Tribolium castaneum: one gene and its partner. The protein of the gene in region 2 purifies or fractionates together with the protein of the main gene of each other region. This does not show direct contact. Links are inferred from orthologs where the notes say so. Each region holds a gene or a part of one and is shown on either strand. Other genes may lie near its edges.

Region 1 (6,706 bases), on a different chromosome or scaffold from region 2:
AGCGACTTGAAATTTTGTGTGCATACGTAACTTTTGAAGCACTATTACGTCATGTGCTTCGATTCTCGATATAAAAATGTGCAGTGCTATCTCGGTTCCTGATGGAGATACGGGAACGGGACCTATCCCATTCGATAGCCCGGGAAAAATACTACGGGGCGGTAGGGTTTTCAAAAGGGCAGAACCACCCCTCTATCTCCTACAGGAACGGAGATATTTCGCATTTTGTGAATTGCAGATTTTCGTAAATTTTTATGAAAAATTTTAGAAATGAAAAAAAAAGGAAAATATTTTGCAAAATTCTTGAGAATTTTCATTGCGTTCCTGTGATCCTGATACGAAATGCATTTTTAAAATTTTGCAATATTTTTATAAAATTGAACTTGAACTTAAACTACCAATTTTTTTTAATTCTTGAGGATTAGAAGGTCAGGTGAAATAAAAGTCCGTAAGATAAGAGTAATTGTTTTATAAAATAAATACAACAAATACAGATAAGAAATTATAACATTAACAACACCAGACTTTGAAATGATTACATTAAAATTCACCAACCAAAAACGAGGAAATTTGAAAAGTCTGAACGAAACGAAAAAATCCGACTTAAAAGAATCTAAGCGTCTCTTCTTATTTGATACTATTTTCGTATATAAAACATGGATTCCTAAAATTGTTAAAATTTCGATTGCCGACTAAACTATTAGACATTTTGACAAGAGCTAATTAAAAATACTTAACTTGAGTAAATTAATTGAGAAAAATACTAATTAAACTAGTGATGTATGATGAAACGGATTATGTTCGACTATATACAATTATGTTGAGCTATGACAAGAATCTTGAGCATGAACCACATCGTCTCTCACTAAAAAAACAATCTCCTTTCGTAATAAACCACGTGATACAATTACCAATCACTTGGCCTATTACTCGTTGTAAACAAACTAATGTGGTAATTTTACTTAAAATGCCATTAACTTAAAACTTACAATCAGTCTCTCTGGTGCAAATCATGTCATGTAAATTTAGGAATTTTACAATTAAACAAACAACGAGTGTGGAAATATTGCAAACTCATCATCCTAAAACAGTATTTGTACTTTGGACACAACACAAAAGAAACTTCCGGACTCAACAGCACCAGATTTTTGAAAAAAACTCCTCAGCTGAAATAACAAGTCGTTAAAATTCGCATACTGTTGATGTCGCCTAAATTAAACGTAATATCACAGAATTACACCATTAAGTGTTTCTGAAAACGTTTAGTAGTTGAAATTATTGGGTTTGTCAAAGACATGAAATTTGATAGCAACATCAGTAGTATGCTTTTTAAAAGTCGTAGGTCTACAAACACGCGCACTCATACAATTTTTTGCAGTCTGTAATTACCTAGAAATGATGGTACTGGAGTTAGAATCGACATCAAAGTCCAACACTAGTAGTTTTGTTTCTTCTGTGCCGTTACGACTTCCAACCGCGCACACTAGTTTCGTGTCGTTGGCGCGAATCCGCCACACAACGCCTCCTGAGCCACCACTGTCCAAAGCCACCAGGTTTCTGATGAACTCGCCGGTGCGAACGTCCCATAATTTTACAGTTCCATCATCCGAGGAAGTTATCACAAAACGATTGTTGAATTGGAGGCAAGTTACGGCTGACTGATGTTTGTATGGTCCTGGAAAATGGAAAGTAACATCAAATCTACATTTGTTTATTACTCAATTTGCTTAATTCACTGCTATTTAATTACATATTTTAACACAACAGTATAAAATGAAATTAAAAGAACAGCTTAATAAAATATAATAAAATGGTTTAGTAGACAACCAACAATACAATGATAAAAATTGTTCTACAAGTATCAGGGCATGCTGCGAGTTTTTTTTTTTTTTTTTTTAATAATAAACATAGGAATATAATTACACTACACTATAACTGCATTTGCTTATTTTAATGATAATTAAGAGTATTTTGTAACAGTGATGTTACAAAAGAGGTGCAAGAATCTTACCTGAAAGGGTTTGTAGGCACTGACCGGTCACTATGTCCCAAACTTTAACGGTGGAATCGGCATTTCCGGACACTAAAATATTATTTCGTAATTCCATACCGGATGTTAGGGACTGGTGACCCATAAGCGTATGTTTGCAAGCTCCCGTCTCAACTTCCCACACTCGAATGCTCGTATCCAAAGAACCGCTGACCACATGAACGCCATCAAACTAGAAAATTAACAAAAAACAATTAAATTAAAGTAAAACAACTAATTATAATGAATGAAATGTTTCATTATGGCCCTCATTCAAAACTGTCATCATCTGATTCTGGAGTTCAACATATCTTAATATGGAACTCGACATAAACCTCAAACCTTTTACTACGTAATCATTGGACCCGTAAACAAAAATCTACAATAATATTACATACAATGTTGTTGTAATTTTAATAGTTATTTACATTATAAGTACGGTTGATGTTTTTTAATTTTTTTAAATTTTCGGATACAGATTTATCACCACAATCTAAAACAAAATACTTTCTTCTCAACACTTGATTAAGTTTAAATACACTCATTAATCATTTGTAAAAAAAATAAATTTTGAAAACGATTTTTTTTGTTTCTGTTTGCAATTTTTACGAAAACTATTAGTCGGAGAGCAATGTCCTTTTTTTTAAAAGATAGATAATTAACAGAGTTTTCCAACGATAATAAACTTCATAAGGTTATCTATAAATAAATAAATAAATGTTCCGGGTACCGAAAATTGACAAAAATTGCGACGAAAATTGAAAAAATCAAACATAAAAAATCGAATATTTGGACTTTTAACAACTTTAGTGGGTTGTTAAGACATGTAGAAGTCCATAAGAATTTGCTGGAGTTAGTTTAAAAAAAAATTTTTTTTCACCTCTTTGAAGGTAAGTGTATTTTACTCAGGAAATTGAGCAAAAAAATTGAAAATTTTAAATCTCGTGAAAAGTTGGTATAATACAGAAAATGAGCCGCTGAATTCAATGGAACAAACCGCATTGCTCTACGACTTTTTGATTTTGAGTTATGAATTTTTTTAATGAATAAAATTTTTCACAATGACAAATGGCTACCCTAAATTTAGGCAAAAAATTTTAAATTTTTAATTCTTGTGAAAAATCGATATAATATGTAAAATGAGCCGTAGAATTCAATCGAACAAACCGCAATGCTCTACGACTTTTAGTTTTTTTTTTATGAATTTTTTTAGTGAAAAACTTTGATCGCCTCTGTAGCCGGAACCGTTGCCCGTACCGGCTCGGGGTTTGGTCGAAAAAATAGATAAAATTAAGCGCTATCAGATGGTTTTTTGTTCGTTGCTCTAAGTTTTACAGTTTCCGAGAAAAACGCAAAAAAAGGTTTCCATTTTCACTTTTTTTCAATTTTTAACCGCCAATTACGGCGAAACTATTAGAGTTATCGAAAAACGGAAAAATCGAGGACAACCGGAATAAAAAACTCTACAAAATGGCATAAGACTCAAGGCGATATCTCGCAAAAAAATTTTCAATTTTCAAACGCCGATTACGGCCAAACTAAAAGAGCTAGGAGAAAACGCTTTTTTAGATCGAAAAGAGCACATCAAAATCTATAAGATAGAATAGGTTTCATTTAATTTTGAGACACTTTAAAAATTGACCGGTTTTAAGGGGGGGGGTGTTAACTTTTTTTTATTTTTTTTTATTTTCTCATTTACGGCTAAAATATTCTAAAAAGTGAAACTGTTTTGATCCATACCTATGCAAAATGATCCGGGGAATCGATTGGCATCAAGAAAATTGCCAAATTCCCAACAGTTTTTTAGTTATGAATTTTTTAAAATTTTACCAAATTTTGCATTTAGCAGCAATTTGCTCGAAAACTATTAGTCGGAGAACAATAATCTTTTTTGAAAAAAATAGATAATTTAAAGAGCTTTCCAACGATAATACACTTCATGGGGTTATCTCTAATAGTTCCGGAGCTATTGCTCGACAAATGTTCCGGGTACCCAAAATCAACAAAAATTGCGACGAAAATTGAAAAAATCAAACATCAAAAAATCGAACATTTGGACTTTTTGTGGACTTTTAACAACTTTTGTGGGTTGTTAAGACATGTAGAAGTCCATAAAAATTTGCTGGAGTTAGTTAAAAAAAAATATTTTTTTCACCTCTTGAGGTACTCAGGAAATTTGAGCAAAAAAATTGAAAATTTTAAATTGCGTGAAAAATTAGTATAATAGAGAAAAAAAGCCGCTGAATCCAATGGAATAAACCGCACTGCTCTACGACTTTTAGTTTTCGAGTTATGAATTTTCTTAATAAATAAAATTTTTCATTATGACAAATGGCTACCCTAAATTTAGGCAAAAAGTTTTAAATTTTTAATTCTTGTAAAAAATCGATATAATATGTAAAATGAGCCGTAGAATTCAATCGAACAAACCGCAATGCTCTACGACTTTTAGTTTTTTTTTAATGAATTTTTTAGTGAAAAACTTTGATCGCCTCTGTAGCCAGAACCGTTGCCCGGAGCGGCTCCGGGTTTGGTCGAAAAAATAGATAAAATTAAGCGCTATCAGATGGTTTTTTGTTCGTTGCTCTAAGTCTTACAGTTTCCGAGAAAAACGCAAAAAAAGGTTTCCATTTTCACTTTTTTTCAATTTTCAATCGCCAATTACGGCGAAACTATTAAAGATATCGAGAAACGAAAAAATGGAGGATAACCGGAATAAAAATGTCATGGGACTCAAGGCGATATCTCAATTTTTCAATTTTCAATCGCCGATTACGGCCAAACTAAAAGAGCCAGAAGAAAACGGTTTGTTCCATCGTAAAGAGCACATCAAAATCTATAAGATAGAATAGGTTTCATTTGATTAAAATGTTTTTTTGTGTTAACAAAATGTTTTTTTTATTTTCTCATTTACGGCTAAACTATTCTAAAAAGTGGAACTGTTTTGATCCATACCTATGCGAAATGATCCGGGGAATCGATTGGCATCGAGAAAATTGCCAAATTCCCAATAGTTTTTTAGTTATGAATTTTTTAAAATTTTACCAATTTTTGCATTTATTTGCAATTTTCTCGAAAACTATTAGCCGGAGGACAATGTTCTTTTCTAAAAAAGATAGATAATTTAAAGAGCTAATTAAAGGTTCTCTCTAATAGTTCCGGAGCTATTGCTCGATAAATGTTCCAGGTACCCGAAATCGACCAAAATCACGACAAAAATTAAAAAAATTAAAAATTAAAATTAAAAATCGAACCAATTAACTTTTTTTCAACTTTAAACAACTCGAATGGGTTGTTAAGAAATATAAAAGTCCACAAAACTTTGCTAGTGTAAGTTTATATTTTTTTTTGTAATTTCACTAAACTAAAAGTTACCAAGTTATTAACGCACCTGTAATGAATAGACACGATTTGTATGACCTTGTAACGTGTGCAAACACTCCTCTCGTTCTGGATTCCAAACTTTAACCATATAATCATAAGCTCCAGAAACCACCAATCGGCCATCATATTGAACACATCGTACAGCGGCTAAATGTCCCACAAGAACATGAAGACATGCCCCAGTTTTAATATCCCACACCCTTAAAGTTGCATCACGAGAACCACTCACAACCCTTAAACAACGACACAAATTAAAAACAATTTTAAAAAAATACTATTCTCTTACTTGTTTCCGTGTAAATGCATACACCGTACAGTTGAAGTGTGTCCGTTGAGCGTATGAATACAATCGCCCGTTTCGGCGTCCCACACCTTCAGTGTTCTATCAGTACTGCCACTGATTATTGTCGCACCGGACATCTGAGACGACCAAACGCCTCCAGTGTGCCCCACCAAAGTGCGCAAACACTACAACAACACTCGTACAAAATTTGCCACTTAAGAAGATGCAAATACGGTTTAGTTAATGAAAAAAGTGTTAATAATTTTTTTCTGCATCGATCTCAACAAGTTATTTTTAATATAATTTACTTAAAAAAATAATTCTAAAACATCAATTAAAATAACTAATGGATGCGAGTGCTGAATAACAAAATTTCTCACAAAAAAAAATATTTTTTTTTTACCTTTCCTGTGATCGCTGACCAAACTTTGAGCGTATTATCATCCGATCCGCTCACAATGCGATTCCCACAGAACTGCAAGCACGTGATCACATGATCATCGTGTCCTTTTAGCATCTTAGGCGGCCTGATCGGTTTGCTCCTCCAGTTCATTTCAATGGCATGTTGTCTCATGTAGGCAGCTTTCCATGGCGACATTTGCGTTCCAGGAGACCTAGGTGAGCACCTCCGTTTAGGTATTTCATCAATGCCTGCTTGCCGACACTTTTCCTTCCACAGTAGATTATCTTCAGCCAGGAAACGCCAACTGCGACAAGTTTGTGCTGCACGTAAAAGGTCTTTCGGTTCGAGAAATGATAAAACGTTCAAAGCCAACTCGCGTGGTAATAATGAGATGAAATCTCGTTGGAATTGTGGTTCAATCACTTGCATCATATGACGGACTTGAGTTGGTTCGCAGCGGGCGATTAGTTCGCTGATTGCGAGAATTCGTTCCGCGTTTGACCATTTTTGGAATTGGGTCAGCCAATCGGACATTTCCGGTGGCGGATTGTCTTTGGTCGGGATTACGAGACGAGATTTTTTGTCGCTAGGGGTGGCACCTGCACGG
Region 2 (7,289 bases):
TAAGTGCACGACCGGATTGTAAAGCGAATAGGAAAATGAATGAATTCTGAGCAAGAAACAGTCGAGTGCCCCTCAACTATCATATCATTTGTTGAAAACCTAGATTGTTTTATAATGTGATTTAGGCAAAGTACAATTCTTTTTTGCATTTATTCTCATATTCGCTGTACACGACACATACTTGAAACTTGTGATCTGTAAAGTGTGTAAAATTATGTTAATTTGCGACAATATATTGTTACAATTATAGCATTACGAGCTTTTTATAGAAAAATATCGATAGTTTTGCAGGTTGTTCTCAATACTAGTTTCGGACGACTTTCTACATCAAATATGAATTAAGTAAACGAATTCCATTACTTGAACACGTGTATACTTACTTTGCAAACTTCCAGATTAGTTTCCTATTGTTACAAGAAAGTTACTAAATAATAATTCACAATAAAATATATCGTTACGTACCCAGTTTTTGTATTTTTAATTTCTTTCACTACCTACTGGTTGAAATAAAACATGCAAGCAACATTTTATTGTTATATTTAAAAACAATTTATACAAACCATAAATACCTACTATACTTGCACATACCTTGTAATAAAAATGGTAACTATTGTAAATGAAATTGACTTGGTAAAAAATGCACAACCAAATAAACTAACAGATGCAAGGCTTCGGTTGATCGCACGAGCGCAATTGATTTGTCTCGTGTGAACAACTCGTTATTTGTACGAAAGCGTATCCCGCCATTTCCTAAAATACGAAATAAATAACAAAGTGCTCCCTAACATCGTTAAATTAAGTACGCGATTTTTAAAGTCCTAATATTAAAAATCAAGAAATTATTTACATTTGCGCGCACCTGCACACGATTTCGTGGAAGGAACAGTCCTTGAATAATGCTAAAAACGTGCATAATGCAAGTAAAAAATCCTTTTGTTATATTTCTAGTATAAATAATGCAGACATTCTGATACAATTGTGTCTATTTATAAAAATATTATGCAGGATTAATGCGTTTTCTGTTTTTGCACTGCACGCATTGACTTCCAATTGGAGTTCGATTTAAATATTTAGGACGTCAACTTCAAGGTGGACAATTTGAATTTTAGAATAGTGCTCATACATCCAAGCCGAACAAAATGCCGAGATACGCATTAACAGCTCGTTAATACAAATGACTAGAATTTATTTTAATACTATTTAAGTATCGATTACTTGAAAAAATGTAAACGTACATACATACATATTTACAAGAGTACAACCTAAAACATTGGTAACAAATCAAGATTATACGCTTTAGTACAATTTATGGTTTCATTAATGCATTTGTTAGATATCTGCAAACTTATCCAAACCTTTGGACCTGTACAAGATGAGTTACATCACTTTCATCGATAAAAAAATATATCCGATGCTATCGAAACCCAAAATAATTGAAATATTCAGGCTTGCGTTTGCATTAGGAAATTTTGGGTTCAAATAGCAAAAATGCATTTGCAATGACAAAAAGTTACATTTATCAATTTATTACTTTGCGAAGCAGAGTGAGGACGAATATGCTTACATTTCATGGTTACAAAGTTACGTAACTACTGGTCGTGGCAAAATAAATAATAAATAATATAAAAAACAACAAGCTTAATACCAGATCAAGAATTTTAAAATCATGATAAATAAACATTTGCTCGAAAATATCACAGAAACAAACAAGAAAACAAAGTTCTGAAATTACAAGGCAACAATGGCTTATTTTTCGAGACTTGTACACGACTACATTGACTGCCAACGTAAAAAATTAATCAAAAATGTAGTCATTCTACAAAATTGGCACCACCAAGGCCGGATCGAGGGTAAAAAGTTAAAACAATTAGTAACTTACTGATAAATAATATTTCTTCAGAAGACTGTGTTTAAATAAGCAACAATATCACTGTTTTTGAACCAAAAAAGTATCACTTAAACGCTAAAATACGCAAAAATAATGCATTTTTAACCCAATCAGGAATTTTTGTGTAACAATTTCATGTCAAACGTACTTAAAAAAGTTCGAAAATTGCAAAAATTGCTCCACATTTAAATCACTCGCGTGATATTTCCGTTCATTTGTAACAAAATGTGTTAAACTATTGGTAAAAGGCTCAATTTTTTTTTTTTCGATAAAACAATTTATTTTTTTATTTTGTAATTTTTTGGTCAACCCTTGTCTAAAAATATCCTGAACTTTCGATGAATTTGTTCCTAAAAATAAATAAAGTCTCGATCCGGTCCTGGAGGTCATTGCTACTATAAAATTACCTCCGTTTTTTCAATAAAAATGTTTGTTCTACTTTGCATAAAAACATATCTGGGGTCAAACGATCACTAAAAACACCATTATGCATTCATATGCAAATTTCGATACTCATTAAACAGATAGATATCAAACCACGTCATTACAATTTTTAATAATTACGACTTTTTTCATTGTCTTTTATTTCAGCTGCGTAACTCCTGTATTTTGGCAGTGTTATTAAAATTTGTTACTGGGAGGCAATTTTATAGCAGTAATGATGAAAATATTGCAACAAAAAATTGCAAGAAAGCACCCAATTTGAATTGATTCCCTAAAAGTCTACTCACTCAATGTTTCTGTTTCAGTGTTAAAAAAGTGGCAATCAGGTCACGGAATATGGCAAAATGTTTATTTACTTAGTGCATTTGATGTAAAAAGTGGTAGCATCTAAAAAATAAATAAAACGTATTAAAACGAAATCAATTCCTCCTTGTGGACTGTTATTTAGTTAAGTTTGTGACAACATATACTTCAAATGCACCTCTCTTAGTCTACTGTTATAAAAATTCTACATCTACCATTGTTTAAATTGTCCTACATACTCATTTTTAATGGAAGTATGACTGACTGAAGTAAAATGTAATTATCACATGGGCAAACCTGCTGTCCTGAATGAGCCATCTTGAAGCATCCAACCCCTTTTTTCAGTTAATTAACAGACTAACGTCAACTTCCAGCTGTGTTAGCCATCTAAAGGTGGTCCGAGATACACCATTGAAACTTCAGTGTTTCCGTAAACGGCAGAAACTGTTGGATACAATTTTTTATCTGGCAATCCTGAAACACCTCATGAAACACCATCTCGCTCCAAAAAGCGCTTTACCTCTAAAGGCCACTCCCAAAAACTCGTAGTTTTTTTCAAAAGATAGCGTGTTGTCATCACAATCTAAAATCACCCGAATTCGCTCCCCAACCTGCAAAACCCAACTAAGACAAAAACTAAAGTCTGTTTTTTATTTAAACGGAAAACCAACCGCAAAACAACAAATAGCGTCAAAAAATTATAAGTTTTAAAAATTAAAAAGTTGGTCACTTTCTGTTATGCAAGATTAATCTTATTTCAAATTTTAACCAAGAGAAGTAAAGTGTCGAACTTACAAATAGAACTTATACAACACGTACGTACTAATAATGTTAGCAAAAAAGCACTGTTTCTATTTTTTATTAATTTTTAAAACTAAAGGTGGAAAACCATTTTTTTTAATTTTTTGAAATCCCCAAACTAATTTAAAAAAACTAGGTAAAAAGGTATCCTAAAGAGCACGAAAAAAAGCTTGCCATTAAAAAAATATTATGCCCTCATTCTTTTTGGGGACACTCCATATAATCAAAAATATTATCCTAAAATACGTCCTAGATTATAAATAACGTCTACAAAATATCAAAACTTTAACTTTACTAATATGAATTACAATAACATCTTCTGAAATAAACCTGAGTATTTCTAAAATACAGTTGAAAAAGGTGTAGTTTTGGCAAAAGAACTTGCCATTTCCAGTCAAAATAAATAATAAAAAAATTACATAATATAGAGTCTTGGACTTGGTAATTTCCGTTTAAATAAAGAACAGACTGTAGGTGGACCAGCGAACTTACTTGATATTTAGGGGCATTGTTAAGTAGCGGGTAATTGCCTTGAGCATCTCCATTGTGCAGTAAATGATTATCAACTAAGTTCCAGCCCCAACTCTGGTCGTCCGAGCCCAGCAGGGCCACGTAACCGTGACACTGCAGAGGTGCGTCTTTTGTGGCAATTCCTATGACGGCGACCGTCCCCAAGGGCCCTTCCCAGATCACCTCCCAAGCGTGTCTCCCATGTCTAAATCCGATTTTACCTCTCGAAGCGTCCGTGCTTTGAGCTACGGGATTTCGGTGTAACGTGAACCCATTAGGCTTAATATAAATATTTCTAGAGCAGTCGTTCGGATTCCAGGCGTGGTAAAACGCCCGCAATTTCGCTTTATACGTAGGAACTGAAGACAACAAATCTGACTTTAGTGCTTCTTCGGCTAGTTTCCGAATACAGTGCAGCCTCCAAACGTCGTTATTTTCATCATTTAAAAAACTATACCATCTCTTACACACTAAAGAACAGTTCCTCAAATCATGCAGAGACAAATATGAAAAAATTACTTCCAACACATTATCGGGCAATGTTGATGCTACAGCGGCATCCATTTTTGAACGGACCAACCCGTCTGACACTTGACACTTGACAGCGATACCAACCGCTCGAACCGACTGATTGCGATTTCAATAAAATCCGCTTAAATTATTTATAAACACGCGAAATTTGCATTCACGACGTCCAATAACGCGGTTTATTGAGGACGCGAACTGATCTAGAAAAATTCACGTATATAATAGAGGTGGTGTTCAACAAAAAATTAGCGACAGAACAGGACATCTCTAGAAACAGACATCGGCAGAATCAGTCAAATCTAAAAAATCATAAACAGAAGCATTCAAAACACTTTTCGAGTCGAAGTATTGGTTTAGAATCGACACCCAGGACACATTTTCATTTTCAGAAATGTATTTATTTTTACATAATTTTTGTATTTAGCAACAATTTTCATTGTTGTTTTAAAATGTTTAAATTTTCGTTTCTACTAAAATTGATTCGGCACTTTTATTCCTCTGAAGCCGCTTTAGCTTTTCAATAAACTGTTCTTTATATGTTACATGTTCGACAAATCTATATTTCATATGCAATATAAGAATACAAAAAAATAGTTTTACGGCTGTAAAAAACAATCAGCAATAAACATATTTATAAATACAGGGTGTCCGTTTGTCGTTTTTATTTCTGATTTCAACGATGTATCACAAAATATGATCAAATATTACATGCTGATCAAAATGGAGAAAAAGCATTTTTACGAAAATTGCTGATCATTATGTGATACATCGAATTGTTAGCAGAAATAAAAAAACTTTTAAAAAATGCAAGTATCAAATATGGCTAAAGTTGAGTGTCGTAACTCTAACATCAAGAACGTCTTGAAAAAGGCAATGACAGATTTGGATTTAAAAAAAAAATCCCCAAAAAAATATTCTACTTAAAAACGTGTATTTTTTTGGTTTTTGCTTTAAAAAATAAAAACAAAAATTACAAAATATTGATGGGGTCAATTCATAACGGTTTGCGTGTGGGTATGAGCTTCTTTCCTTTGCTATTCATGCTATGATGACTAAAAATTCAGTCAGAAGAGTATGAACAATTAGTATTAAGATCTATAAGAAGATAACAGGTCGAAAAACTACATTACATTTACCATATCCACACGCATACCGTCGTGAATTGACCCATTACAACAAATTTTGAGAGAAAATGTGATGTTGGCATTTTTATGGTTTCGAAACAGGTAATAAATAGTATTTTATAATTATTCTTTTACATTTGTGTTTACCGTATTTACTGACTATTTCGTCATTATAGTGCAAAATAGTATTTTTGCAGTAGCGACACCTAGCGAATACTGCCTTTCTAATAATTTAAGGTTCTGTCTTGCACGTTTCTGTCGATGGCCTGTTCGGTGGGTGCACCTTTCCTGACAGCCGCGTATTATTGAAACTGCATCCCTGGGTGTTTTTTCCGGGGCATTTGCCCGGTGTCAGGGCCTCGTGCGCCCCGTGCGGGGGCCGCAAGGCAAAAAGGCGCCAAAATATTTCGAACGCATCGCTCCCTCGTGCCGCTTGCCCGAACTAGGAGCAGCGTGTCCCACGTGAAGGAATCCAGCCAATGGGAGCGATGCCTTTGTACCCGCCGCCAAGCTGGTAGTGGCTTTCCTTGCACGAAATAGCTCATCTTCAAAAACACCCCCAAGTGTTGTATCGCAAGCAAGCAGTTAAAAAGCGCGAAATTAGCAAATTGCGATATTCGAGGAAACTTCGCGAGTTGTTTAAACCGAATTCGTGGTGCGCGGGGTCCGCCTATTTCAATTCCAAAATATCGCCTAGTTACAGTCGCCATTTTTGTTGGAGTTGGATGGAGAGGAGCTCGGATTTAAAAACCGGTGCTTTTTCGACAGTGTCCCGTTTTTGAGGAAATGTGCTAAAGGGGCGGCGAGTGAGTGTTTCGCACGAGAGGGAAAATGACCCAGCAGAACAGCACAACCAACTGGGTGATCCAGGGAGCCAATGGTAATTTTTAAAGGGTTCGGGGGTTTTTCCAAAACGGGGGCCCACAACGAAGTGGTGCGGGGGCAAACAGTTGCCGGTTGGGGGGCTGGGCGGGAAAGGACCGAGTTTCGGGGGAAACCGCCTCGATGTGGGAGGAAAAGCGGGTTCAGTGCACGTGTTTTATTCGTTTTTTCTGTAACAGGGCAGATGATTAAGGTGGTCCAGCCCAGTGGAAAGCCCATAAGTGGCATTGTGACCTCGGTGGCAGGGCAGCCCATGAAGATTTTCAAATCGCCGAACAGCCAGGAACCGCTCCAGGTATTCCACTCGTTCCCCCCTAAATTAATTTGTTTGTAGTTCGTTAAAGATAAGACGGATTTGTTTACATCTATTCCTAAGTTTTCGAACGATTGATCGAATTTTTATCTCGGGGTAATTGCACAATTCATTCATCTCTTTCATCTTTCTTGCATGTCTTTGCCTATTTTCGACTACTTCTGTTTTTGTTTCTAATTTATCTTGACCATAATTATCGCGTGTTTGTGTGGAGGTAGATCAGTATCGCCACGCATTTGTAATGGTTTCGTGAATTTTATTGGATCACAAAAGCAGTTAAACTCATAAGGTTGCGTCATTGAAGAAAAACCGAGCTTTTTACCTCTTGTAAGTTAAATATTTTAGATTGTTTTGTCGGAAACCGGTTCTCAGACCCCACCTTCAGTCACCCCTTTTTCTCTTAATAGGTACAGCAATATCTCAATAGTCCGAAGCTTTTCTCGTCCGAATAGGTTTTTAGATTAACACAAAAATCATAATTATTAGATAAATTATC

The links.
Region 1: the proteins of Fsn (region 2) and ago purify together in Homo sapiens (affinity purification with mass spectrometry; 4 studies listed by BioGRID and IntAct, counting the BioPlex papers as one, with this or other methods). This does not show direct contact. The link is inferred for Tribolium castaneum from reciprocal best matches to the Homo sapiens genes FBXO45 and FBXW7.

What each region holds. Positions count from the first base shown.
Region 1 is NC_087394.1:36,171,629-36,178,334, forward strand, and holds the end of ago (archipelago), read right to left. Parts: intron 6,699-6,706; coding exon 6,100-6,698; intron 5,882-6,099; coding exon 5,700-5,881; intron 5,647-5,699; coding exon 5,421-5,646; intron 3,064-5,420; exon of another isoform or gene 2,458-3,063; intron 2,409-2,457; exon of another isoform or gene 2,223-2,408; coding exon 2,012-2,222; intron 1,676-2,011; coding exon 1,390-1,675; intron 1,167-1,389; coding exon 1,163-1,166; 3' UTR 456-1,162; downstream 1-455. UniProt on the Homo sapiens protein: Substrate recognition component of a SCF (SKP1-CUL1-F-box protein) E3 ubiquitin-protein ligase complex which mediates the ubiquitination and subsequent proteasomal degradation of target proteins.
Region 2 is NC_087398.1:7,903,398-7,910,686, forward strand, and holds Fsn (F-box/SPRY domain-containing protein 1), read right to left. Parts: upstream 4,594-7,289; 5' UTR 4,511-4,593; coding exon 3,929-4,510; intron 3,260-3,928; exon of another isoform or gene 3,247-3,259; coding exon 3,156-3,246; intron 3,110-3,155; coding exon 3,015-3,109; 3' UTR 522-3,014; downstream 1-521. Other genes in the region: Dp (transcription factor Dp-1), read left to right, coding at 6,430-6,478, 6,660-6,775. UniProt on the Homo sapiens protein: Component of E3 ubiquitin ligase complex consisting of FBXO45, MYCBP2 and SKP1. Functions in substrate recognition but also plays an important role in assembly of the complex.